Linked DNA regions of Arabidopsis thaliana. The protein of the gene in region 1 interacts with the protein of each later gene in a pairwise test. Each region holds a gene or a part of one and is shown in the gene's direction. Other genes may lie near its edges. The genes, in order: AT1G01230, AT4G38690, AT1G62330 and PLC2.

Region 1 (5,136 bases):
ACGAGGTAGGCGACATAATGTCAGAAGCTTGGAGACTGCATCAAGAGCTGGATCCGTATTGCAGCAATGAGTTTGTGGATAAGCTTTTTGAGTTTTCGCAACCTTATAGCTCAGGATTCAAGCTGGTAGGTGCAGGTGGTGGTGGATTCTCACTTATATTGGCTAAGGACGCAGAGAAAGCCAAGGAGTTAAGACAGAGATTGGAAGAACATGCAGAGTTTGATGTCAAAGTTTACAACTGGAGCATCTGTATTTGAAAGATACATACAGTGTCAGTGTGTCATCATCTTGATTCTTGTAAATTGATATATTTTTTTGGGACCTTTGGAAAAAATAAAAGCAGAAGAATCTTTCAGATTTGCAATTAAAAACGATGTCGTGTGGTAAACAAAATCCTTTGCTTGACCAAGTCGTTCTCTTCTTGCTTCTGGTTGGTTTACTTCATAGTTCAACGACCACCAAGCTGTGAAGTGACCGTATTACCCCTGCCTGGAATCAAGGTCAAAAGGCCCCGGAAAATCAGTACGTTGGTAGCATTTGGATTTGGAGATAACGCCGTTAAAAGACTCTGTAACGGGTTTGCTCAACAGCTCTCTCTAGTTCGTTTATCGAATTAGATAATGCCACTCCAAAAAACGTTACTTTACCTTACCTATCTCGCTGACGTCAGATCCCACCGTTAGAGCTTACACTTGTAACGCCGTTTCCTGCATTTTCCACAAGCAAGGTAAAAAAAAGCTTTGTGCAGAGAGAGAGAGAAGAAGAAAAATGGGTTTGCTTACGAACAAGATTGAGAGAGAAGAGCTAAAGCCAGGAGATCACATCTATACTTACAGAGCAATCTTCGCTTATTCTCACCACGGTAACTTTAGATTCATTCTTCCCAAGTTTGCTCCTTTCTTTCTCGTTCATTCAATCATAACATCAAAAAGTGAAATTATCCTCAATGCAAGTCTTTTCTTTTAGTTTCTACTGGTCGGTTTAATCTTCTTATTGAAACTGTAAATTCACAAAGTTGACGACTTTATCTAGATAGATCTTGAAGACAATGGTCTATATTCCAATCTTTGCATGACCTAATTTCACCCTGGCTCTGTATTTTGATGTTATTCCATCATATCTTCTGATCTCTGATGGACTTTATAGATGATTTTTGTTTATTTGACATATTTTTATCCCAATTTCCTCTGGTGATGAAGAATTGATACTGTTGTAGACATTCCTTCATGGGCTTTGATTTGATTGTGGATTTTTGCAGGAATCTTTGTCGGTGGGTCCAAAGTTGTTCATTTCAGACCTGAACACAACCCCATGGATTCATCAACATCATCAATATCATCATCTTCCTCTGAAGATATCTGTTCCATATTTCCTGATTGCGGTTTCAGACAACCGGACAGTGGAGTAGTCCTTTCTTGCTTAGACTGTTTCCTCAAGAACGGCTCACTCTACTGCTTCGAATATGGAGTCAGTCCATCGGTTTTCCTAACCAAAGTCCGCGGAGGGACTTGCACAACCGCGCAATCTGATACAACTGATTCAGTCATCCACAGGGCAATGTACCTTCTCCAAAACGGATTTGGCAACTACGACATTTTCAAGAACAACTGTGAGGATTTCGCGCTCTATTGCAAGACCGGTTTGCTTATAATGGATAAGCTCGGTGTAGGGAGAAGCGGTCAAGCTTCTTCAATTGTTGGTGCTCCTTTGGCTGCACTCCTCTCTTCTCCTTTCAAATTGCTTATTCCAAGTCCCATTGGTGTGGCAACAGTTACTGCTGGTATGTACTGTATGAGTCGCTATGCTACCGATATTGGTGTTAGAAGCGACGTCATTAAGGTCTCAGTTGAGGATTTGGCTCTCAACCTTGACGTAAAGACCATTGAGCAAGGTGAAGAAGAAGAAGAAGACGAAGAAGAAGATTCTGATACCGACTATGTTAGGTGACAAACAGATACCTATCACCTTTGTTCACGAATTTCGATATACATAAGAAAACATTTCAGTTAGAATCCTCATGTTGGTTTTATGTTCCCTTTATTGCATTTGTTGGCCTATTTTCTGTCTGTACAAAATGAAAACGCAGACGTTTTGGTTTGGGTAATGTCAAAAATATCCCAATAATTAATTAATGCCCAGTGTAGATGCAAAAAAGCAGTCGTCGTCTTTCACGGGCACACAAAATTAAACCAAAGAAACAAACAATCCTTGTTCTCGCCGAAATAGAGAATTTTGTGAATCTGGGTTTTTAGTTCAGGTGTTAATATAAGATTTTGATCAAAAGAAGACGAGATTCGATCCGATCCGATCTGATTGAAGAAGAAATGGCGAATCTGTATGTGAAAGCGGTTCCACCACCGGATATGAATAGGAATACGGAATGGTTCATGTATCCAGGAGTTTGGACGACTTACATGCTTATTCTCTTCTTCGGTTGGCTCGTTGTTCTCTCTGTCTCTGGTTGTTCCCCTGGAATGGCTTGGACTGTTGTTAATCTCGCTCACTTCGTTGTAAGTCTTCGATTGTGTTTATGCTTTAGAGATGATTTTTTCACTTAGGGTTGTGACTTTAAATTAGATGATGGATTGATTCCTTGTTTTTTTTTTATTTCCTGAGATCTGGATGTGAATCTGGCTCTAGTGTTTGAATTGATCTCTTTGGTTATTAGCAATTTTTTAGTTGGTTTAGGGTTCGAATGAAGAGGCAATTACCTTCTGATTGATCAGTTTTAGCTATCGTATATCGTTGAGCTTGGATCAGGCTTCGAATTAGGATACAGTTACCTTCTTATCAATGAATTGATCAGTTTTGGTATCAGCGATTTTGAATTGATCTGTTTGGATACTATCAGCAGTGTTGACTGTTGAGTTGATCAGGCTTTTAAGTAAGATGCAATTCTCTTCTAAGTTTGAATTGATCGGTTTTGGATCAGGCTTCGAATTAAGATGCACCTTCTCGTTAATGAATTATCAGTTTTTGATATCAGAAACTAAAACTACCTATGGCATCAATGCAATTTCTTAAGGTCTAACTGTTTGATATAATGCGGTGACTTGTAAATTGGCATTGCTTGATTGTCAAAACCAAATTTAATCTAATTTCTAATTACTCTTTAGGAAAATGTGATGTCTGAGTAGAAATTTGTGGATATTTGTTGTCAGGTAACGTATCACAGCTTCCACTGGATGAAAGGAACTCCTTTTGCAGATGACCAAGGAATCTACAATGGTTTAACTTGGTGGGAACAAATGGACAATGGTCAACAGCTTACCCGCAACCGCAAATTTCTTACCCTAGTTCCTGTTGTTCTGTAAGTCCCAGCACCTTGTTCCTCAAAATCTCACCACTCTTGTCTATTTCCAATCTATATTTTCTTAGCAAATTATTTTCTTTAGCTGCATATATCCTTGTGTCTCATATGGTTAATAAATATGCTAATTTCTCAATACACATATCTAAATCCGGTGATGTGTAACGGACTAGTTCTAGAGAACTCTGTATACGCGATAATGTGTATAAACAAGAGCTGCATTTATCTGGATGAACTTTTAAGATTGAGCTCTTTAGCTTTTGTACTTGTTTTCTGACTTTATAACGACACATTTAAAACAGGTACTTGATTGCATCGCATACAACAGATTACAGACATCCATGGCTGTTCCTCAACACACTCGCTGTGATGGTTCTCGTTGTTGCCAAGTTCCCCAACATGCACAAGGTACGCATCTTTGGTATCAATGGTGATAAATAAGTTTCCTTTACGGCAAGAGAACACCTGAAAGAAGGAAAAGGGGATATAAGCGAACATATATATGTGTAAATGTTCATATGAGTTGGTTTAATTCTCGAGTCATGTTTTTTGTTGGATATTTGTAAGTAAACTCTCTAATTTTGAAGCTTTCATCTTTTACCTTTTATAATAGACACGAAAAAGCTTTCCCTTCATCTCCCCACTTCACTTCAGATAATGGGCCTAATAGCAATATGGGCTTGAACAATAATTGAATTTAACAATGGCCCAAAGATTCCTGTCGTGGTGACTCATGAGTTATCATAACACCAGAATGTTTTCGATTGAGCGTAATGATTCAGTGGGATCTAAAGAACACGTGGCTGCCTACAAGATCTCTAACAGCTGGTTAATGACACGTGTCATAGTTAAAGTCCACCTGGATGGATATTATATCATGGTGTACGTATACAAAATAGTTAATCCCTCTTCAAAATTGAATAAAGCTAACAAAAGTAATCAATTAACGTGATTAAAAAAAAAAAGAGAATGCTAATTGGACCCCGAAAACATGATATATCCTGCAAAATTAAAGCCGACAAAACGAAAGAATGACTAATTAAAGTTGGAATAAGACTAATGATTTTTTTTTTTTTTTTTCTTATTGTGGTCCAATGTAAGAAAATAAATAAAAACATCTTATCCATTAAATCGAAAGTAGGGTCCATATCGTAATAGCCGTCGATTCTCTCTTTAGCCAACACGTGTTGTCAATCCAGCTGTTTCAGATGCTTACCAAGCCAAACAAGTTATTGAAACTGTGTCGTTTTGTGTCCCTAACTCGGAAGCTTTTACGGAAGAAACTGTAAATTTGGTTCCATGGGGCCAGAGAGTGTGAGAAACGAAAATTAAAAAAAAAGAGAAGAAAAGCCAAAAGCTTCGGTCGCGCAAGATCGCTTCATTTGTTTCTAGAGTGATTCATGGATTCTTTAAACTACTAATAATGGTATCTTTAGTTGTTACTTCGTTTTCTGATCTATTTTACAAATCTTACTCTTTTGCTCTGTTTTCGTGGTTTTGTTTAGATAAAAGTCTCTGTTCTTCTAGTTTCTTCCATCAGACTGTTTTCTCATGGATCAGTGATGATTTTTGTTTCCTGGGTCAACTTCTGATTTTGGAATTTCTGAAAATTTTGGTAAATTTACTCGATCCCATTGCGAAATCTTACGCATGATCTTTGTAGTTTGCTCTGCTCAAGACTTTCTTTTTTTTTGGTTCTGCAGTATGTCTTAATTGCTCTGAAACTTATGTCTTGTTGTGTTTAATTTGGTGGTGAAATATATTGTCTTCTTTATTCCTGGATCTGTTAAGATTGTTTAAGATTTCATATACGTTGAATTGGTTTT
Region 2 (4,905 bases), on another chromosome or scaffold:
GTTGTTTAATTTGGATAAGTTAAGTTGTGTGGGGGAACTCTAGAGAAAATTTTGGTAGGGTCTTTTTTTTTATAATATCTCTCTGTCTCTTTTTTTTACCACATACTCTGTTGCAATTTTTAGGGTTTTGGGGTGTCTTTTATTTTTTACGAGTTGTACAATTTCATTATTGGTTTAAATCTGTCTTTGAATTTGGGAGCGTTTAGTTGATCAGTGATCAATGGTGCGTAGAGAGAGTGATGTTTGTTATTAAGAGCCCAATTGGCCCAACTTAACCCGACCCAGTATCAGATCTGGCCCGTATTCTATAATCTTCTTGATCGGTGCAGTCCACTTAAGATATATGTGGTGAGGAATAAATCCAACCTGTACAAACACACAGAATGTAGTGGGACGGGGAATATGATAATACCACGCGCTTTAGAGCTGGGAATATATTAAAATTGATCAAAAATAGGCATTTTGGCTGGACTATATAGCTTACCCATTTTGATAACACGCGCTCAACGCTCCTAAGGTGCGCGTGGTACATATCCTTACCTCGAATAAAGTTTATGCTAGTTATTTGGCAGAATCTCAAAGCTTTTTAGAATCATAATTTTCTAAAATAATTAAATCTCTTTACATGTTTTCAAAGTTGTCAAACACTATTACAATTTTGAACATATCATCAATATCAGACAGAAAATTTTCAAAGTTAATACCTGGATCATATGCATTTACTATTTTCTTTTTGTTATATAGAAAAATATCAAATAGATTTTCTAAATAATGACATATACCCTCTTTTTATAGGAGAAAATCTTTTTCCTGTAAACATTCCTAAAATTACAAGTGATCAAACTATATATATATATATATGTTCTAGATTCATTTGGATAGTAAACTTTCATATCAATTCCTTAAGTTTATAAATTATGAAGAGCACATTAATAATATTTTTCACACTCTGTTTGAGCATGGCCGTTATGGCGCGTCACGAATCCTACTATGGCAACACCAAACCGGCTAAACTGAATGAGGAGAAAGTGACACGTGTCAGATTTTATCTCCATGATACTCTCAGTGGCCAAAATCCTACCGCCGTTAGAATCGCACATGCAAATCTAACCGGTGGCTCAGCTTCGCCGGTAGGTTTTGGAAGCCTGTTTGTGATAGACGATCCGCTCACCGTCGGGCCGGAGAAACACTCGAAAGAGATCGGGAATGGTCAAGGGATGTATGTCTCCGGGTGCAAAGACTTGAGCAAATTCACGATCGTCATGTACGCTGATTTGGCTTTCACGGCAGGGAAGTTTAATGGAAGCTCGATCAGTATCTTCTCGAGGAATCCGGTGGCGGAAGAGGTCGGAGAGCGAGAAATCGCGATTGTTGGTGGCCGTGGGAAATTCAGAATGGCGAGAGGTTTTGTCAAAGTAAAAACAAATAAGATTGACATGAAGACTGGTGATGCTGTTCTCCGATATGATGCTACTGTTTATCATTATTAACCGATTCATATGTTCCGATTAAAACAATAAAAAGGCCAACTAAATCAATTATTCAGATCAAAACTGAATTTTGCATGATCAAGAGATCAAAATTGATTAATTATGTTGCAATCTTTCTTCTCAATTCCCAAAATCTATACTAGTAATCTCTTTTACATATCTTAGTTGTGTGGATCGTGATATTTGAGATAGTCTTACAAAAGACATGATAGGGCCTGTGAGTGTATATGATTGGTTTTCCATCGGATCCTATCCGAATTTTATCCAAAATATTAATTATCGATGCCTTGTTTAAATTTTAGGAACGACTTTTATTTCATAGAAAATTTGAATATGTGTCTTCCAAGAAATAAAAATCACGTTGTATTGATATCTTTCACGTCGGAAAATAGCCAGGCATTAGAAATTGACAAATAACAAACAGTGAAGACAGCTATACAACAAAAATGGACCTACCATACATTGTAAACCCACTCTCCCATCAATTACAACTCAACCACTCTTTCAATATATCTCAACTAATCAATCAGTTCACATTTATAACACTAAAATGTTCCCACAATAAAAATTGTAACAGTTAATCTTACATATTAAACGCTACTACTTTTTTTCTATGGTTTTTGTTAAGTTAAAAGTTGAAAGTTACTTCTAATTTGCGAATATGTCAACGGTGTTTTGAGAAAGTAGCGTAATTATTAAAAGATTAACGTATAATTCGTAACTTCTTCAAACCAATAATAAGTAAATAAAAAACAATCATAACGACTTATGAGTAAAGGTTTATTGATAAAGAAGGCATGGAACATTTTATAAACAAGAGAGAACAGAATTCAATATAGTGATCAGAGAAGAGAGAGCAAAGGGAAAGGGTTAATCCTCAGCAATGGGCTCTCACCTTTCCAAACAACTCGAGCGGCGAAAAGCCATCTCCACGGAGAAGAAAGCCCTCACCGATCTCGAGAAATCGTGCGGCTGCGAGTTTCCGGGGTGTGATTACATGCCTTCCGATCGTAAAAACTGGATGGCCGGCGTTGGACCTGAAAAGCTTCACATCAACAAGATCGTCTGGCCTGGGACGCACGACTCTGCCACCAACAAAATCGGTATCCGATTCGTGTCTCGTCCCTTTGCTAAGTGCCAATCTCTCTCCATCTATAACCAGCTCGTGGCGGGTACTCGAGTCCTTGACATTCGTGTCCAAGAAGATCGCCGTGTATGCCACGGTATCCTCAAGACTTATAGTGTCGACGTTGTCTTGGCCGATCTCAAACGGTTTCTATCCGAAACAGAGTCGGAGATTGTCATTCTTGAGATCAGAACAGAGTTTGGACACGAAGACCCACCGGAGTTTGATAAGTATCTTGTGGAACAGCTTGGAGAGCATCTGATTCACCAGGACGATCACGTGTTCTCCAAGACAGTCGCTGAGCTGCTTCCCAAGAGAGTGATCTGCGTTTGGAAACCGAGGAAATCGCCTCAGCCTAAGCATGGTGATCCTCTTTGGAGCGCTGGTTACCTTAAAGACAATTGGATCGATACAGATCTTCCATCGACCAAATTCGAGAGCAACATCAAGCATTTGAGCCAGCAGCAACCAGCTACTTCAAGGAAATTCTTTTACCGGGTGGAGAACACAGTGACGCCGCAGCCCGATAACCCAATAATGTGTGTAAAACCGGTGACTAAGAGGATACATTGCTACGCCAAGGTATTCATCATAGAGTGTGTAAAAAGAGGATGTGCTGATAAACTGCAGATATTCTCAACTGATTTCATAGATAATGAATTTGTTGATGCTTGCGTTGGGCTCACCTTTGCGAGAGCTGAAGGTAAGGCCTGAGGAATGAGCGTGTGGAGACAGACTTTGTGTATCTATTTTGAAGGAAAAGAATCAGAACATGGTTGATGTGTTTTAGGGTTGCTTGTGTATAAGAGAACATGTGAGTGTGTATTTGTATGTGTGTGTGATTTACGAGTGTATATTCCAATTCATTACAACTTATTTGAATCCTGATACAATTGCGAGATATCCAAACTCTTCATTACTATTAATTTCTGATACTTTTGCAGATGTTGTAGTTGATAGACAGGCAAAACAGAAGGAAGAAGTATACAGTTGATGGTAAAATCTAGTTTTAACAAGTGAAAGAGAGCTGCTAACCTGAGAGATGACTATATTTCTGCAGCAATGCCCCTTTTTATTACACACTACTGTGATCTTCAAGAACAAAAAGATAATAGAATCAGTTATGCTAGAATTCATATCAGTAGCTAATGACACAATGCATCTCTATAATTTCATTATTTGATTATATCTATAAACTGAGATGATGGAAACATGGTGCAAAATCCTAATAATTTGAGATTAGATTTCTTCTCAAGACTTGAAACACAAAAGAAGAAGAAGAAGAGCATTTGATCCACAAGAGTGATTGAGCCGAGCCAAATTATTCTCCCTGCTGAGATCGGCAGCGAGACCACTCTTCTAGACTCTAGACATGGGATGCAGAGAAACCAACTTTTTTTATTTAAACGGCTGCGTTTTAAGTCATGTTCTCAAATGATACCAGTTTTTTTTTTTTTTTTTTTTTTGCTAAGCACAAGTTTGATTTGTTGTTTGGCACTTTACGATAACATCATTTTACTCCTATACTTTCTCACGGTAAGTGATTAAGATAAAAACATGCACATTTTTCGAATTATAAGCTAAATTTAAAGGGATCTATTTTCTATCTCTCAATAATTTTTAAATTTTACTCATTTTCTATTTCTCTTATAAATTAATTACTTGGTAATTTAGTTTTGTAATCGATACTCAAAAATCGATATCCAACAAAGGACAATCTCTTTGCGGTCAATAGTCTTCTCAAATTACTTCATACAATTATCATACTGTTTGGTAAAATTTGTGAATCTGCCTCATAAAATGTACGTGGAAAGTGGAACAACAGTTAATGCTTATTTTGACCACAAGATTGAGAAAATTTTGAAAAGAGTATATTGACCAGTTGCTGACGTTGCATGTCATTCTTTAATGTTGTTGTTGACTGCAACAAAAAATAAAATACAACATACAAAGTAAAAAAATAAAAATAAATTAATTGATCTTTGTTTCTCTATTCCCCAGAGAGCTAGCTTTTCAGATCTAAAATCAGAATCTGACGGCTGATATCCCTCGTGAAAAACACCCCAACCGTCCAGATGCAACTGCTTGCTGGGCCAATGATCCATTCTCTTTCCCGAAATGGATTAATCAATTTAAGCCTTATCACATGCTGGCCCATTTTCTAACTCCTCTTTTCTTTTTTAACTTACTTTTCTTTCTTTTAATATTTTAGTTGCAGATTCATTTTCGAAATCAACGAAATTTATGTTTTTTTAATTTTCTGGGTATCTTAATCGCGAGATTTTTTAT
Region 3 (6,807 bases), about 23 Mb from region 1:
TTTTTTGATTACCCAATCAAGTAAATCCTCAAGTAAACAGCAGAATCCAAACCAGCATGATCAATAAGTTCAGGCTCTGGCATCTTAAGAGCATCAGGCATCCAGTTTAAAAACCGAACGTATGATCGAAAGTCCAAATTCATAATCTTGCTAACGAAAGCACCCGAATTCACAGGGCTGCTTCTAACACCTTTTAAGTACCATTTAGGGAAATAAACCCTATCATTGAATGGTTGAATCCTCAAGATTGCAAATAGCAATAGAAATATCAATGCACTTAGAATATTAATCGCTGCTGCTAGTCCAATATCTGCTAATGTCGCCATCTCCTCAAACTAATTTATAATAAACCCTCACAAATTCTTTCTTCACCTGCAAATATATAAGAGCCCTAAAAATTGTCATAAGAGTTTAGACACAAAGATCAAGTTTTAGATTTGTATAATAGTCAAAGACGCTTATACTAATCTCACCTTTAGAAACTCATTACTCAAAAAAATTTGGCCCTTTCGTTGACTCTTTTTTTTCACAATGTTCTTGCGATCAGATTGAAGAAGAAAATAATATGAGATGAATCAAGAAATCATATTGGTGAAGTGGAGATTTGTGTGGTTTGTATAAAAGCTTCTTCGAATATAATCTTTAAATTTTCTTCAAGGAAAAGTATTGCACAAGTTTCTTTAGTTTTCTCTTCTCCTTCCTCTGAAAACAGAAACAGAGAGAGGGAAGAAAAAACAGAGTATGGAAAAAACAGAGAGATTGGTTCTGTTAACAGCACAAAAATGGGGAAGAGAAGAAAAGAAACTTCGTGCCGTTTTTGTTGATACAAAACGCTGAAAATACACGGAGAAATAGAAGAAGAAGAAGATGATGAAAAAGTTGGATCTTTTTAAAATCTTTGAATCTAGTTGTTGTTGGTCGGCCGTCTAACTCAAGAGACTATTATTATTCCTTGAAAAAGTTTCATTTCAAAAAAATGTCCCAATTGGGTTTATTCCTAAATTAAACTTAAACCAGCTCTAACTTTTTATTATTATTACACATCTATCTTATTTGTTTTAGATATACCCATGCTTATTTTGGAGATAAAGTTAGATTAAAATAACTAAAATAATAACTTTGTTGCTAAAATAAGATAATGACTTCATAGTTGACTAAAGTAAAAAATCATGAAATTAGCTTAATTAAATTGTTACTAATACTACTCAAGTAAGAAAATAATGAAAATAGGCAAATACCGTGCCATCACGTTGAAGTCTATAATTTTTTTTGTTTTTTTTTAATAATCATATTCTTCAGTATAAATCACCTTTTTGTCTATTTTATTCCCAATACGAATTACTTTTCTTACGTCCAAATCAATGTGAATAATCTAGCTACATTTTTCTTCATTTTCTTTTTTTAATAACCACCTTTCATCAGTGTCACAGAAATTTATCTAAGGACGTGCGTTAAGACTATCTGGGATTACATCAAAACTGCAATTGTTTTTTAATACTCTCATTATATTAGTCCTTGTAGACGTGTAGTACTAGTACCATGTCGAAAAAGTAAACATTTGTATCAATTGCTATATACATATATTAAAATGGTTGTAAATACAATTTTAAATTCTTAACTTAATTATCTTGAAAAAGTAAGTTAATAAGTGTCTGCATGTGCTATATTTCCTTTAACAAAAAAAAAAGGCCTGACAAAAGGAAATTAATAAGTTCTCTAACTCTTGTCTAATTAATATAACACCAAAAACAGATGTCTAGGCCCCAATTAAAATCATATTACTCTGATATGCAGAAAGCGTATTTGAAACCCTCCACACAAAAAGCCCAATATACCAAACACATGCTTGCAACTATTTTTGTTTTTGACAGCTAGTTTAGCTACTTGTTTATGTTATGAAACACAATGAAAAATTATTCAAATTTCATAGATATAGCTTCAACAAGCTGTAGATAGTAGTAATAAACTAGTTTTCAATTTTATTATTTACGTAGTTGGTAGGAGCTAATCCAACTTTACACATCGCTAAATGAAAAATTATTATTCATCTTAAATACTCAACAAAATTATTAATTCTGTCTTACCAAAATGTTATTAATTCTAAGAAATGATAACAACTACTAAGAACAGTCTACTTGATCAATTTCTTATAACTTTGAAACCACAACGGACATACGTAGGGTTATATTTCGTATTAGATAAAATAATAGGTAAAGATTAAAATGATTTTAAAGGACAGGGACCTTAAATTAATACCAGCGTCAATCTCAAGGTTTAAAAAAAACTTTAATAATTACGTTCAGACAAAGAAGAAAAATCCTCACTGAAATTCGAGCAAAAAACACTCACTTCGCTCTTTCTTCGCTAGCTTCGTTAAATTCAGCAAATCTATCTCTCACGATCGAACAGAACTGAGAGAGAGTGTGAGCTTAGCCATGTCTTCTGAGAGACCAGACGAAGAGAAACCAGAGACTCGCGATGTTCTTCGAGTCCAAGATCTGATCCATGGAGGAGGAGGAGCTTCACCGGTTCAATCACCGACACGTCTCGGTCCAACCCGCTTTTCAGAAGTAGCTGGAGACAAGATTCTTAACACCGGGTCGAATTGTATCGGGTCGGTTTTGTCTTGGATCAACGGAGATCCAAACCGGAATTTGAAAAATCCGGTTAAGAGAGCAAAAAGGAAACGAATCAGAACGGCGAAAACCGCCGCGTTTGTAATCGTACTTGTTGGTTTCTTCATTTTCGTTAATTGGTTTATGCTCTCTCAGCTCCATGAAGGTCGAGCTTGGCTACGGAGAGGATTCTCGAAAAAAACGAATCTTAAACCGAAACTGAACCCGGATCCGAACTCGAGTGTGAAACGGGTATCCGTTAAAGTGTCGGCGAATGTACAGGTAAATTAGTTAAAAATTTAATAATGTGATTGGTCAGTCAGTTTACTGTGAACTTTAACTTTTTAACAGTCTGTTTCTTGTCAAATCAATTTCAAATCCCCAAATGGTTAAATTGTGTAAAAATTTAAACTTTTTGTCTAATATACAATTACTTCAAATACAGATTTGGTTAGAGAAAAATAAAATCCTCTGTTTGAGATTTGTTAGTTAGAATGTGAAAATGCTGTGGTTAGGAGACAAAGTTTACATGTTTGAGATTTTGCTAGGTGAAGTATGAAATTATTGTAGTAAATGGTAAGTTTATGTAGTGTAATGTTATATATTACATGATTTTTGCATTTGGATTAATGGTTATGGAAGTTTCATTTGATGTTGAGTGACTTATGATTTGGTAGCATAAAGAGAAGAAAAAGATGGGAAAACCAAAGAAGACATATAATGGAACATATGGTAGATTGTTGGCTTATGCTGCTCATGCTTTGGCTGAGGTATTATCCTTTCCGCTTTCGACATTTCGAATTCTTAAACCGAAACCGAAAAGCCTACTGACCGAGACATTGTGTTCGTTAGGGGCAAAACAAGCTTGAACCAAAAGAGTTGTGGAGAGAACCAAAGGACCAAGCTTTGGCTTGGAAGCCTTGTGCTGATCAACGTTCCTGGAAGCCTAGTGGTCTCTTACTCTTACTCTCAATGAGTTTATTTCTCGTACTATATAGGTATAGTTTTTCTGATTTTTGTGTTTTTTTTTGTGTGTGGAGTTTAGATGGTAAAAATGGATATATAATGGTAACTGCAAATGGTGGGATCAACCAACAGAGAGTTGCTGTAAGTTTTGATTGCGTTACACATTACTTTGTCATGTCCCACTCTTTATATTGACTAACCGTTGGATTTCGCGGGGACATTATTAAAACAGGTTTGTAACATCGTTGTTGTTGCGCGGATGCTAAATGCGACACTCGTTATTCCTAAATTTATGTTCAGCGATGTCTGGACCGATGCAAGGTAACTATTGTAAGGTCCCTCCGTTCTCTGTCTCCTTCTCTTATAATTGATGCTTTCTTGAAAACGTCAAATTTTAACACTCTTGAATGGTATATATATGTTTCATAGTCAGTTTGGAGATATCTATCAGGTGGAACACTTTATAAAGTATCTTTCTCCTGATATCCGGATTGTAAAGAAACTACCCAAAGAGCTTCAGTCTCTAGATCTTGAGGCTATTGGCAGCGTCGTAAGTTCCTTACACCGCTTTTAGTGTGAAAAACCGATTTCATCTTCGTATTTTTTCTAATGTAGTTCTCTTTTATGTCGTTTTTTAAGGTTACGGATATAGATGTCATGAAAGAAGCCAAGCCCGGGTTTTATATGAAGCACATTCTTCCTCTTCTACTCAAAAACAGAGTCGTCCATTTCTTAGGATTCGGAAACCGTTTGGCCTTTGACCCGATACCGTTTGAGTTACAGGTAAAGAACCTTCTTTTAGCACCGTGGATATCGATATATTACCCGTAATGATCCAACTTTTTCTTGGGGAGTAGAGGCTGCGGTGTAGATGTAATTTTCATGCGCTAAACTTCGTTCCGAAGATACAAGAAACGGGTGCGATACTCGTAAGGAGATTACGAGATAGTGGATCACACCTTGCACCAGTTGACCCGTATCTCGTCGGTCCAAAATTTGCGTCATTCATATTGGACAAGAAAGCAGGTCCTCTCCATAAGGCTTCTAAGTATCTAGCAGTCCATCTCAGGTTTGAAATTGATATGGTGGCTCATTCTCTCTGTTACTTCGGAGGAGGTGATGCGGAAAAGGCAGAGCTTGATGCTTACCGGGAAAAGCATTTCCCGACGTTGGCAAATCTAACAAAGACGCAAAAGTTTGTTCCTTTCCTCTCTTAACTCTTTTTCACATTATTATTTCAGTTTTGGTATCTCACTGAATGCCCTTTTGTTTTCTCTTATGCAGAATGCCATCTCCAGACGATCTGAGGACAGAAGGACTTTGTCCTTTATCACCTGAAGAAGCCGTGCTTATGCTTGCGGGTCTGGGTTTTAGTCGGAAGACACGTGTTTTCGTCGCTGGTGCGAATATATATGGTGGGAATAAACGGTTAGCAGCTTTAACGAGTCTCTACCCGAATCTAGTCACCAAAGAGAATGTACTCTCACAAACTGAGCTAGAGCCTTTCAAGAACTTCTCATCTCAGGTGAAATGAAAACAAGAAAACCCGTCAAAACTTCCTTTTCGGTTTATCGGTTAACTTTCTCCGCTAAACTAAACCGAAGAATTGCATATTTTTCTTTCTGGTTATGTAGCTAGCGGTTCTTGATTTCATTGCATGCGCTGCATCAGACGCCTTTGCGATGACGGATTCAGGGAGCCAATTGTCGTCTCTGGTCTCGGGTTATCGGATATATTACGGAGCAGGGAAAATGCCGACGATCAGACCGAACAAACGGAGATTCTCAGACATATTGTTGAAGAACAATACTATAGAGTGGAAAGTGTTCGAGCAGAGAGTGAGAAAAACGGTTAGGCAAACCAAACATGTATTGGTTAGACCGACGGGACGCAGCGTTTACCGTTATCCAAGATGTAAAGAATGTATGTGTAATGAAGATTGATTATTTGGTTTACATTGTTGGTTCGGTTTTTTAAACGGTCTTCATATTTTTCATGGCATTTGTAGCGGCTACACATTCTAGTGAGTACCAAGCTTGAGTTTGGTACCAATATGGTATTATTAGTATTTGGTTTTGGGGGTATTTTGATGCTGGAAATACTAAGATTGGGTTTGGTAAACCGGTGGTAAGTATGAAATTTATCTCTCTATACATGCATAAGTATGAAATCCTTCCAGAAGAATTAAAGTTAGCTTGAAGGATTAGGTGGATAACTACCATTCTACTAAGCACTTATTTAATGAGTAACTGTTTTACACTTCAAAGACTTGTCGGTAACAATGATTCTTCATCTTGATGTTATATATAAACTAAGTTAGTACACAAGACAGATATTGCAATAACAATTCACAAAATGCCTTATCCTCCTCCTCATCGTCATCCTCCTCCTTTCCACCATCCACCGCCACCAAGACCACCGCCTCCGGAGCCTCGCCCTCCTCCACCTCCTCCAGGACCTCAGCCACCACCTCCACCTCCTCCCAGACCTGATCCACCACCTCCACTTCCCGGAGCTACTTGGTTTCCAGGACTTCTTGGGCCACGCCCTCCTAGACCACCATATTAGTCGTCATGAATGTTTTGGTCTATTTAAGTATATAATTCGAAATATATATTGTCGAAACATCTTAGATCTTTAAAGATTTCATATGTGTAACACTTTCATGTGTATTAGGCTCATCTGTGTAATCATCCTTCATATGTGTAATTAGAATGTATCTCAACCTTCGCAGGGTGGTAGGTTGAAACGGAGCACGCTTGCACTTTATTTGATTTTGTATTTGTAATGTAAAATTTAGAATATAATAACTAGTTTGTTGTTTACGTTTTATGTGAGAGCCGCTGAACAAATAAAAAAAATAACTCTTCCTTATTCCATACATTCATTTTATGAAAAAACTTATCTCCGTTCCTATTTGATGGAGTGTCAATAACCTTTTCGTTGGAAATTTTTAAGAATAAAGACCTTATTTTAAGTGAGATCGACAAGTAACAATAAAATTTTATGTTTTCAAATGGTTTTAACTGACAACGGTATTCTTATAATATGGTTTAAGCTTCCAGTAAGAACAACTTCACCAAATGTAAACTTGTTTAAGACTTGTGTGACATTGAATTCGATGTCTAGGTCTTGAGTTTTCTGTGGTGGTACGGTAAACCAAGTTGGGGTTAACCGTACAGTTGTACCATTGGGAGGTAAAACCGAACCAAGATATGTCTCAGTC
Region 4 (6,668 bases), on another chromosome or scaffold:
AGGCTCTGAATGAGATATACGTGGAAGAAGAAGACTACGATAGGTTGCGAGAGTCTATTGATTTACATGACAGCTTTGACCAGATTGGCCTCGCTCAGAAGGTAAAGTTCAAATATACTACCCCTTTAATATTTTCTCTCTTTAAAAATGGAAAAAGAATGGCCTTAGAGATGATATAATCTTCCTGTGAATGGTGCGAACAGATCGAGAAACACGAACTTGTTGAAATGAGACGTGTGGCTGCTTATATCTACAAGAAAGCGGGCAGATGGAAGCAATCAATTGCATTATCAAAGAAAGACAACATGTACAAGGACTGTATGGAAACGGCTTCACAATCAGGCGAACATGAACTTGCAGAACAACTACTGGTGTATTTCATTGAACAGGTATGATGATGGTTAAACATTTACGAGATGCTAGTGCTAGCCATTCAGTTTGGTTAGTTGAAAAGAATTGGTCCAGACGTTGAACGTAGTATCCCGTGTCTTCTGCTGTTATACAGGGCAAAAAGGAATGCTTTGCTACATGTCTCTTTGTATGTTATGACTTAATCCGACCAGACGTGGCTCTAGAACTTGCCTGGATCAACAATATGATGGACTTTGCCTTCCCGTATCTCCTCCAGGTGATCTATCCTAACCCTCAAATAAACTCTTTTGATTCTCTGCTCAATGAGGTTGGAACCATTATTTGAACGCTATGATGAATTCTCTTCTTCCTGTCGTTTTTTCTTTGCAGTTTATCCGAGAGTACTCTGGCAAAGTGGATGAGCTAATAAAGGACAAGCTTGAGGCACAAAAAGAGGTGAAGGCCAAAGAGCAGGAAGAGAAGGATGTCATATCCCAACAGGTACTACTTATGACACAGCTACACTGGATATCATCCGACTCTTTATCTTGACAGATACACTTAAAGGAGTAATATGTTTTTCTTTTGTTTTTAAACAGAACATGTATGCCCAAATGTTGCCACTTGCTTTACCTGCACCACCGATGCCAGGAATGGGAGGTGGTGGTGGGTATGGTCCTCCACCACAAATGGGCGGTATGCCAGGAATGCCTCCCATGCCACCATATGGAATGCCACCGATGGGCGGCTACTAAAGCAGACCAGCTTATGCTTTAATATCCGCATTTGGAAAAGTATCAGTAGCGCATAGAGTCGGCCCAATTTGCTAGGGCGGTGTTCATCTGCTAGCTAGCTTATATGTCTGACCAGAATTTGTCTGGGAATAATGTGGATAATAACCTCCTTTCGTTGTAATATTCTGTTGGGTTTAGGTGAGTAATTTTTTTTTAACTTTTTGTCAAAAGCCATTTTTGAGTATATATACTCAACTCTCTTACTCATATGAGTTTTGTAGTTGTACTTTCCTTCAGCATTTCATTCCATTCGACTTTCGATTTATTAAACCGTTGATCAGTTTCACCTTGTTGTTATTCATATATGAAACAATTAATATCGAGAAGGACTAAATAAATCCTTCATGAGAATTTGGTTGACCTCAGAACAATCATCATCATTCATCAGCATCAGAAAGACATAGATGCAACGTGAATCTCATTTTCATGAAATAATAATGAAATCTTAGGGTAGGTTTATTTCACATGTACACATAAAAACCTAAGTACCAATAGTCATCTGAACATCATGAACTAAAAATTGCATCCCTCCGTAAACACACATTTCTGCTACATTACTAAGAAAACGTTCTGGATAGAAAGATTCAATCAACCCAACATACTTTGTTTTTATTAGTATACTTAGATGACATACAAATTCACTTGGTATTTCTAATATCAAAAGTTCAACCTTCACCAGGATAAAACTCATCCAGCGCAGACACTAACTATAGATAATCAATTAAACCAAAATGATAAGCAGATTGAAGAACTTTAAGGAGAATCAGTAACTCATAAGGATCATTCCATGTAATAAACATAATTCTAATAGAAAACATAGATTCGATTTGGTCCAACAAAACATTCAAATTGAAAATTGCAAAACCAACAAAACTCACATAAGAGTTGGTTCTAAAAAGAAGAAAGACAAAACAAACTCCCGAATCTACTTAGATCGCTGTCTCATCTTTCGTCTCTTCCTCTTCAATCTCCTCATACGCTTCTTCTTCCACTGCAACACACAAACACACAAACCATAAAGATCCTACACACTACTTCAATTTCTCATCACTAAAAAATCCATTAAACAATCAAAACCCATTACTAACCTTGGCTCTCATGCTGATTTCGCAGAAGCTGTCTCCTTCGTTCCTCTGATTATTTGTTTAGCTTTACAGGATGAGGAGCGGCGGAGATGAATAGAAAGATTTTGTAGCTTACGCTCTTATTCCTCCTTTAAACAACAACAAAACCCTAGTAACTAACTTAATGGGCTTTATTATTTCAAAAGCCCAATAAAACCCAAATGGATAAGAATTTGCCAGAGGGGATATTCGCACAGAGAGAGAAAGAAGATCTTTTTCCGACAAGGTTCAAGATCGATTAAACATTACATGGAGGAGATTCACTAGAAAGAAAGGAAAAAAATCTCTTTGTCTTTGCAGATGCGACACGCAAAACGACGATTCTGATCTCGCTTGTCTGATTTCAAAAACAATGAGAAGATAGTTCTGATTATATAACACACAAACCCTACTTCATTCCTTCATCATCGTCTCCAATCATTACCCAAAGATCCGTCTTTTTCTTTACTTCATGTCGAAGCAAACGTACAAAGTGTGTTTCTGCTTTCGCCGGAGGTTTCGTTACACTGCATCGGAGGCACCGCGTGAGATCAAGACCATTTTCGAAAAGTACTCAGAGAATGGAGTTATGACCGTTGATCATCTCCACAGGTTTCTGATCGATGTTCAGAAACAAGATAAAGCCACCAGAGAAGATGCACAGTCAATTATCAATTCTGCATCTTCTCTTCTTCATCGTAATGGTCTCCATCTTGATGCTTTCTTCAAGTACCTCTTTGGTGATAATAACCCTCCTCTTGCTCTCCATAAGGTAATTTTCGTGTTATTTCGATTTTATGAGTTCAGAATCTGAAGTAAACTATGATTGATTGATATAAGAAACTCAGATTTTGGATTGGGATTTTTCGTTTTCCTTGTTTGGTAATTGAGGAAATGGTGTGAGGAAGTGAGATTTTTGGAATAATTTGTTTGAATGTTTCACTGAGTCTAATCAAGAGTTCGAACTTCGAAGCTGCTGTTTGGTAGAAAGTCGTAGGAGCTATGTACTTTTTAGGTGTTGTGGAATAAGTCTGATTCAAGAATTTGAAGCAATAGAATTGTTTTTCTTTTTATGTCTCAAAAAAAAAAAAAAAGTTGAGAAAGTAACATATCTAGGAATGTGACATTTACTCTATTAGGAACTCTGACACAAAAATCCATGATACAAGTAATTAATATTTTTACAATTCCGGCTATACATGTAATTGTGACTCAATTGTGCTAGCTTTTATTTTCAGATTGATTATAGACTTATCTCTAATGAATTTGTGGTGTTTCAGGTGCATCATGACATGGATGCTCCTATATCGCATTATTTCATATTCACTGGTCATAATTCTTATCTGACTGGTAATCAGCTGAGCAGTGACTGTAGTGAGGTACCTATTATTGATGCGTTGAAGAAAGGTGTTAGAGTCATTGAATTGGATATATGGCCCAATTCCAACAAAGACGATATTGATGTTCTTCACGGAATGTATAATTTTGCTTCAAATTTATTTCGAAAAACAAGTCAAGGTTAGGTGCTTGGCGTTTAACTTGTTTACTGAACCATTCTTAAACAGGACTCTCACTACACCTGTGGGGTTGATCAAATGTCTCAAAGCTATCAGAGCACATGCCTTTGATGTATCTGACTATCCTGTTGTTGTAACTCTTGAAGATCATCTTACTCCAGATCTTCAGTCTAAAGTTGCTGAGGTAGCTTTTTATTTTGCATTTCTTTCTTTGCTGCTTTAATAGATGAGTACATTGGTTTTGAGATGTGTTTTCTTGTTGTATGATAGATGGTTACTGAGATATTTGGGGAAATTCTGTTTACTCCTCCTGTGGGAGAATCTTTGAAGGAGTTCCCATCGCCAAACTCTTTAAAAAGACGTATTATCATCTCAACCAAACCCCCAAAAGAGTACAAGGAAGGAAAAGATGTGGAAGTGGTGCAGAAAGGTAAAGACTTGGGGGATGAAGAAGTTTGGGGAAGAGAAGTTCCGAGCTTTATTCAGAGGAACAAAAGTGAAGCTAAGGTGTGTACGAAGACAAATCATTTTCATTCTGTTCTGTTGCTGTTCATGGACAAACATGTTAGTTTTCTTTCTTGTTGCAGGATGACTTAGATGGAAATGATGATGATGACGATGATGATGATGAAGACAAGTCTAAGATTAATGCACCACCCCAGTATAAACATTTGATTGCAATCCATGCTGGGAAACCAAAAGGCGGAATTACTGAGTGTTTAAAGGTAGATCCTGACAAGGTTAGACGCCTTAGCTTAAGCGAAGAACAACTTGAAAAGGCAGCAGAAAAATATGCGAAGCAGATTGTGAGGTATAGTCATATTATGTTTTTATGTTTCTAAGTAATAGTTGCAGTTTGTCAACTCAATATGAATCCTGTTAATCATGGTGTGGCGCAGGTTTACTCAGCACAATTTGCTGAGGATATACCCAAAAGGAACTAGAGTCACATCATCAAATTACAACCCGTTGGTTGGCTGGAGCCACGGTGCTCAAATGGTGGCTTTCAATATGCAGGTATCTCCTTCTGCTATATTACCAACTTCTTTCTACGTAGTAGTAAAACTTCTAGTTATTTTGGAGGAGCTATGTTCCATCATTTTACAGGACATCAACCTTATTCCTCAGCTGATTTGATTGTGATCTTTTTCCATGTACAGGGGTATGGAAGATCATTGTGGCTAATGCAGGGAATGTTTAGAGCCAATGGCGGATGTGGCTACATCAAGAAACCTGACCTTCTGCTGAAAAGTGGTTCGGATAGTGACATATTTGACCCAAAAGCTACTCTACCTGTGAAAACAACACTTAGGGTGAGATATCTGATTCTCTGGTTGGTCTTTCTTTTACCAATTCAAATCCGATCAAACTCAGTGAACTTATTCTTTCCCTTAGGTAACTGTATACATGGGAGAAGGCTGGTACTTTGATTTCCGCCACACACACTTTGACCAATATTCACCGCCTGACTTCTATACAAGGGTCAATTTTTGATTCCCTGCCTTAAACCTCACACAAATGTTTTGAGATAGAACTGTTTCTTGTCTCTTATGCTTGCAATATAACAATTTGAGCTTTTGATGCATATTCAGGTTGGGATAGCTGGAGTTCCAGGGGATACAGTAATGAAGAAGACGAAAACACTGGAGGATAATTGGATACCAGCTTGGGATGAGGTGTTTGAGTTCCCATTAACCGTTCCAGAGCTGGCCCTGCTACGATTAGAAGTGCATGAGTATGACATGTCAGAGAAAGATGATTTTGGAGGACAGACATGCTTACCGGTTTGGGAGCTAAGCGAAGGAATAAGAGCATTTCCTTTACATAGCCGGAAAGGAGAGAAGTACAAATCCGTTAAGCTTCTCGTGAAGGTGGAGTTTGTGTGAGACATGATTAAGAAAGATACAGCATTTAAACTTGTCTGGTAGGTTTGAGTGCCACAGAGTTTGTGAATTTGGAGGATTTGTATGTGTGAGAGAGAATGTATGCTTGATTTGTTGTTTGTAATATTATGTACATAAAAGACGAAAGTGAGAGAGAGAGAGACGGTCTTGTATCGTGTGTTGTTGTATTATTATGTAGTAGTCTCGTGTAACACTTGAATCGTATGATGATTTGTGGTTTTTGTGTAACAAGTGTGTTTTAAAACTTGTTTGATTCCATTCCACCAAGAAGGCTTCAAAGAATTTTCTTATGTATCACATAAAACTGATCGAATTTCCATAAACATAACCAATCACACCCCATAAAACAAAATTGGCCAAAAAGAAAAGAGAAAGGATATTTTAGTAAATGAAAGAGAGAGGTGGTGGTGGAGGTGGAGGAAGCGCGCTCTATCTCAAAAACGTTGGGGTCTGCTTGGTCCTCAACAATTGAAAACCGTACAAATTCAATTTCTTCACATAAAGCTCTCTCTTCCTTCTCCATTCTTCCACCCTTTTTTTTCTTCTCTCCGCACAAATCCCCAAATGTCCGATAGGTATCGTAATCCCCCAACTTCTCGATTCATCAAACTCTTCAATTTTGTGTCTCTTTGATTGGTGATAAAGATTGATTCTTTCGTTTCTGGGGACGATGATTCATTTGATTTCTTTTTTGTAGGATACTGTGCAAGTTCTTTGTCCATGGCTCGTGCTTGAAAGGCGAAAATTGCGAATTTTCCCATGACTCTAAGGATCCGCCCAATAATGTAATCTAATCTCTTCTCAAGTTTCCTTCTTTTGATTCATCAGTCCCAAATATTTGACTCTTGGTTGTATAAATTAGGTTTGCACATTCTATCAGAAACGAATATGTTTGTACGGAAGTAGATGTAGATACGATCATGTCAGAGCTGCTTCCAATCTTCCTCTTAGCTCAGATTCTGAGTCTTTAGATCGCTCTATATCCACCACCCCCTCTAG

Evidence for each region.
Region 2: the proteins of AT1G01230 (region 1) and AT4G38690 interact in a protein complementation assay, tested with the Arabidopsis thaliana proteins (one large-scale study listed by BioGRID).
Region 3: the proteins of AT1G01230 (region 1) and AT1G62330 interact in a protein complementation assay, tested with the Arabidopsis thaliana proteins (one large-scale study listed by BioGRID).
Region 4: the proteins of AT1G01230 (region 1) and PLC2 interact in a protein complementation assay, tested with the Arabidopsis thaliana proteins (one large-scale study listed by BioGRID).

Annotation. Positions count from the first base shown.
Region 1 is NC_003070.9:95,296-100,431, forward strand, and holds AT1G01230 (ORMDL family protein), read left to right. Parts: upstream 1-2,116; 5' UTR 2,117-2,324; coding exon 2,325-2,510; intron 2,511-3,161; coding exon 3,162-3,310; intron 3,311-3,612; coding exon 3,613-3,751; 3' UTR 3,752-3,945; downstream 3,946-5,136. Other genes in the region: FKGP (L-fucokinase/GDP-L-fucose pyrophosphorylase), read left to right, coding at 1-257; AT1G01225 (NC domain-containing protein-like protein), read left to right, coding at 769-862, 1,259-1,947.
Region 2 is NC_003075.7:18,073,168-18,078,072, reverse strand, and holds AT4G38690 (PLC-like phosphodiesterases superfamily protein), read left to right. Parts: upstream 1-2,115; 5' UTR 2,116-2,373; coding exon 2,374-3,330; 3' UTR 3,331-3,753; downstream 3,754-4,905. Other genes in the region: AT4G38700 (Disease resistance-responsive (dirigent-like protein) family protein), read left to right, coding at 918-1,490.
Region 3 is NC_003070.9:23,044,530-23,051,336, forward strand, and holds AT1G62330 (O-fucosyltransferase family protein), read left to right. Parts: upstream 1-2,238; 5' UTR 2,239-2,435; coding exon 2,436-2,897; intron 2,898-3,292; coding exon 3,293-3,385; intron 3,386-3,467; coding exon 3,468-3,567; intron 3,568-3,660; coding exon 3,661-3,722; intron 3,723-3,813; coding exon 3,814-3,902; intron 3,903-4,010; coding exon 4,011-4,131; intron 4,132-4,220; coding exon 4,221-4,364; intron 4,365-4,438; coding exon 4,439-4,776; intron 4,777-4,865; coding exon 4,866-5,106; intron 5,107-5,215; coding exon 5,216-5,524; 3' UTR 5,525-5,808; downstream 5,809-6,807. Other genes in the region: AT1G62320 (ERD (early-responsive to dehydration stress) family protein), read right to left, coding at 13-326; AT1G62333 (uncharacterized protein), read left to right, coding at 5,937-6,149; ALE1 (PA-domain containing subtilase family protein), read right to left, coding at 6,594-6,807.
Region 4 is NC_003074.8:2,581,609-2,588,276, reverse strand, and holds PLC2 (phospholipase C 2), read left to right. Parts: upstream 1-2,378; 5' UTR 2,379-2,720; coding exon 2,721-3,020; intron 3,021-3,528; coding exon 3,529-3,725; intron 3,726-3,813; coding exon 3,814-3,949; intron 3,950-4,035; coding exon 4,036-4,272; intron 4,273-4,352; coding exon 4,353-4,576; intron 4,577-4,664; coding exon 4,665-4,782; intron 4,783-4,925; coding exon 4,926-5,078; intron 5,079-5,160; coding exon 5,161-5,247; intron 5,248-5,357; coding exon 5,358-5,651; 3' UTR 5,652-5,915; downstream 5,916-6,668. Other genes in the region: AT3G08530 (Clathrin, heavy chain), read left to right, coding at 1-101, 204-389, 506-628, 742-852, 951-1,106; AT3G08520 (Ribosomal protein L41 family), read right to left, coding at 2,071-2,136, 2,234-2,245; AT3G08505 (zinc finger (CCCH-type/C3HC4-type RING finger) family protein), read left to right, coding at 6,234-6,244, 6,367-6,454, 6,532-6,668. UniProt on the Arabidopsis thaliana protein: The production of the second messenger molecules diacylglycerol (DAG) and inositol 1,4,5-trisphosphate (IP3) is mediated by activated phosphatidylinositol-specific phospholipase C enzymes.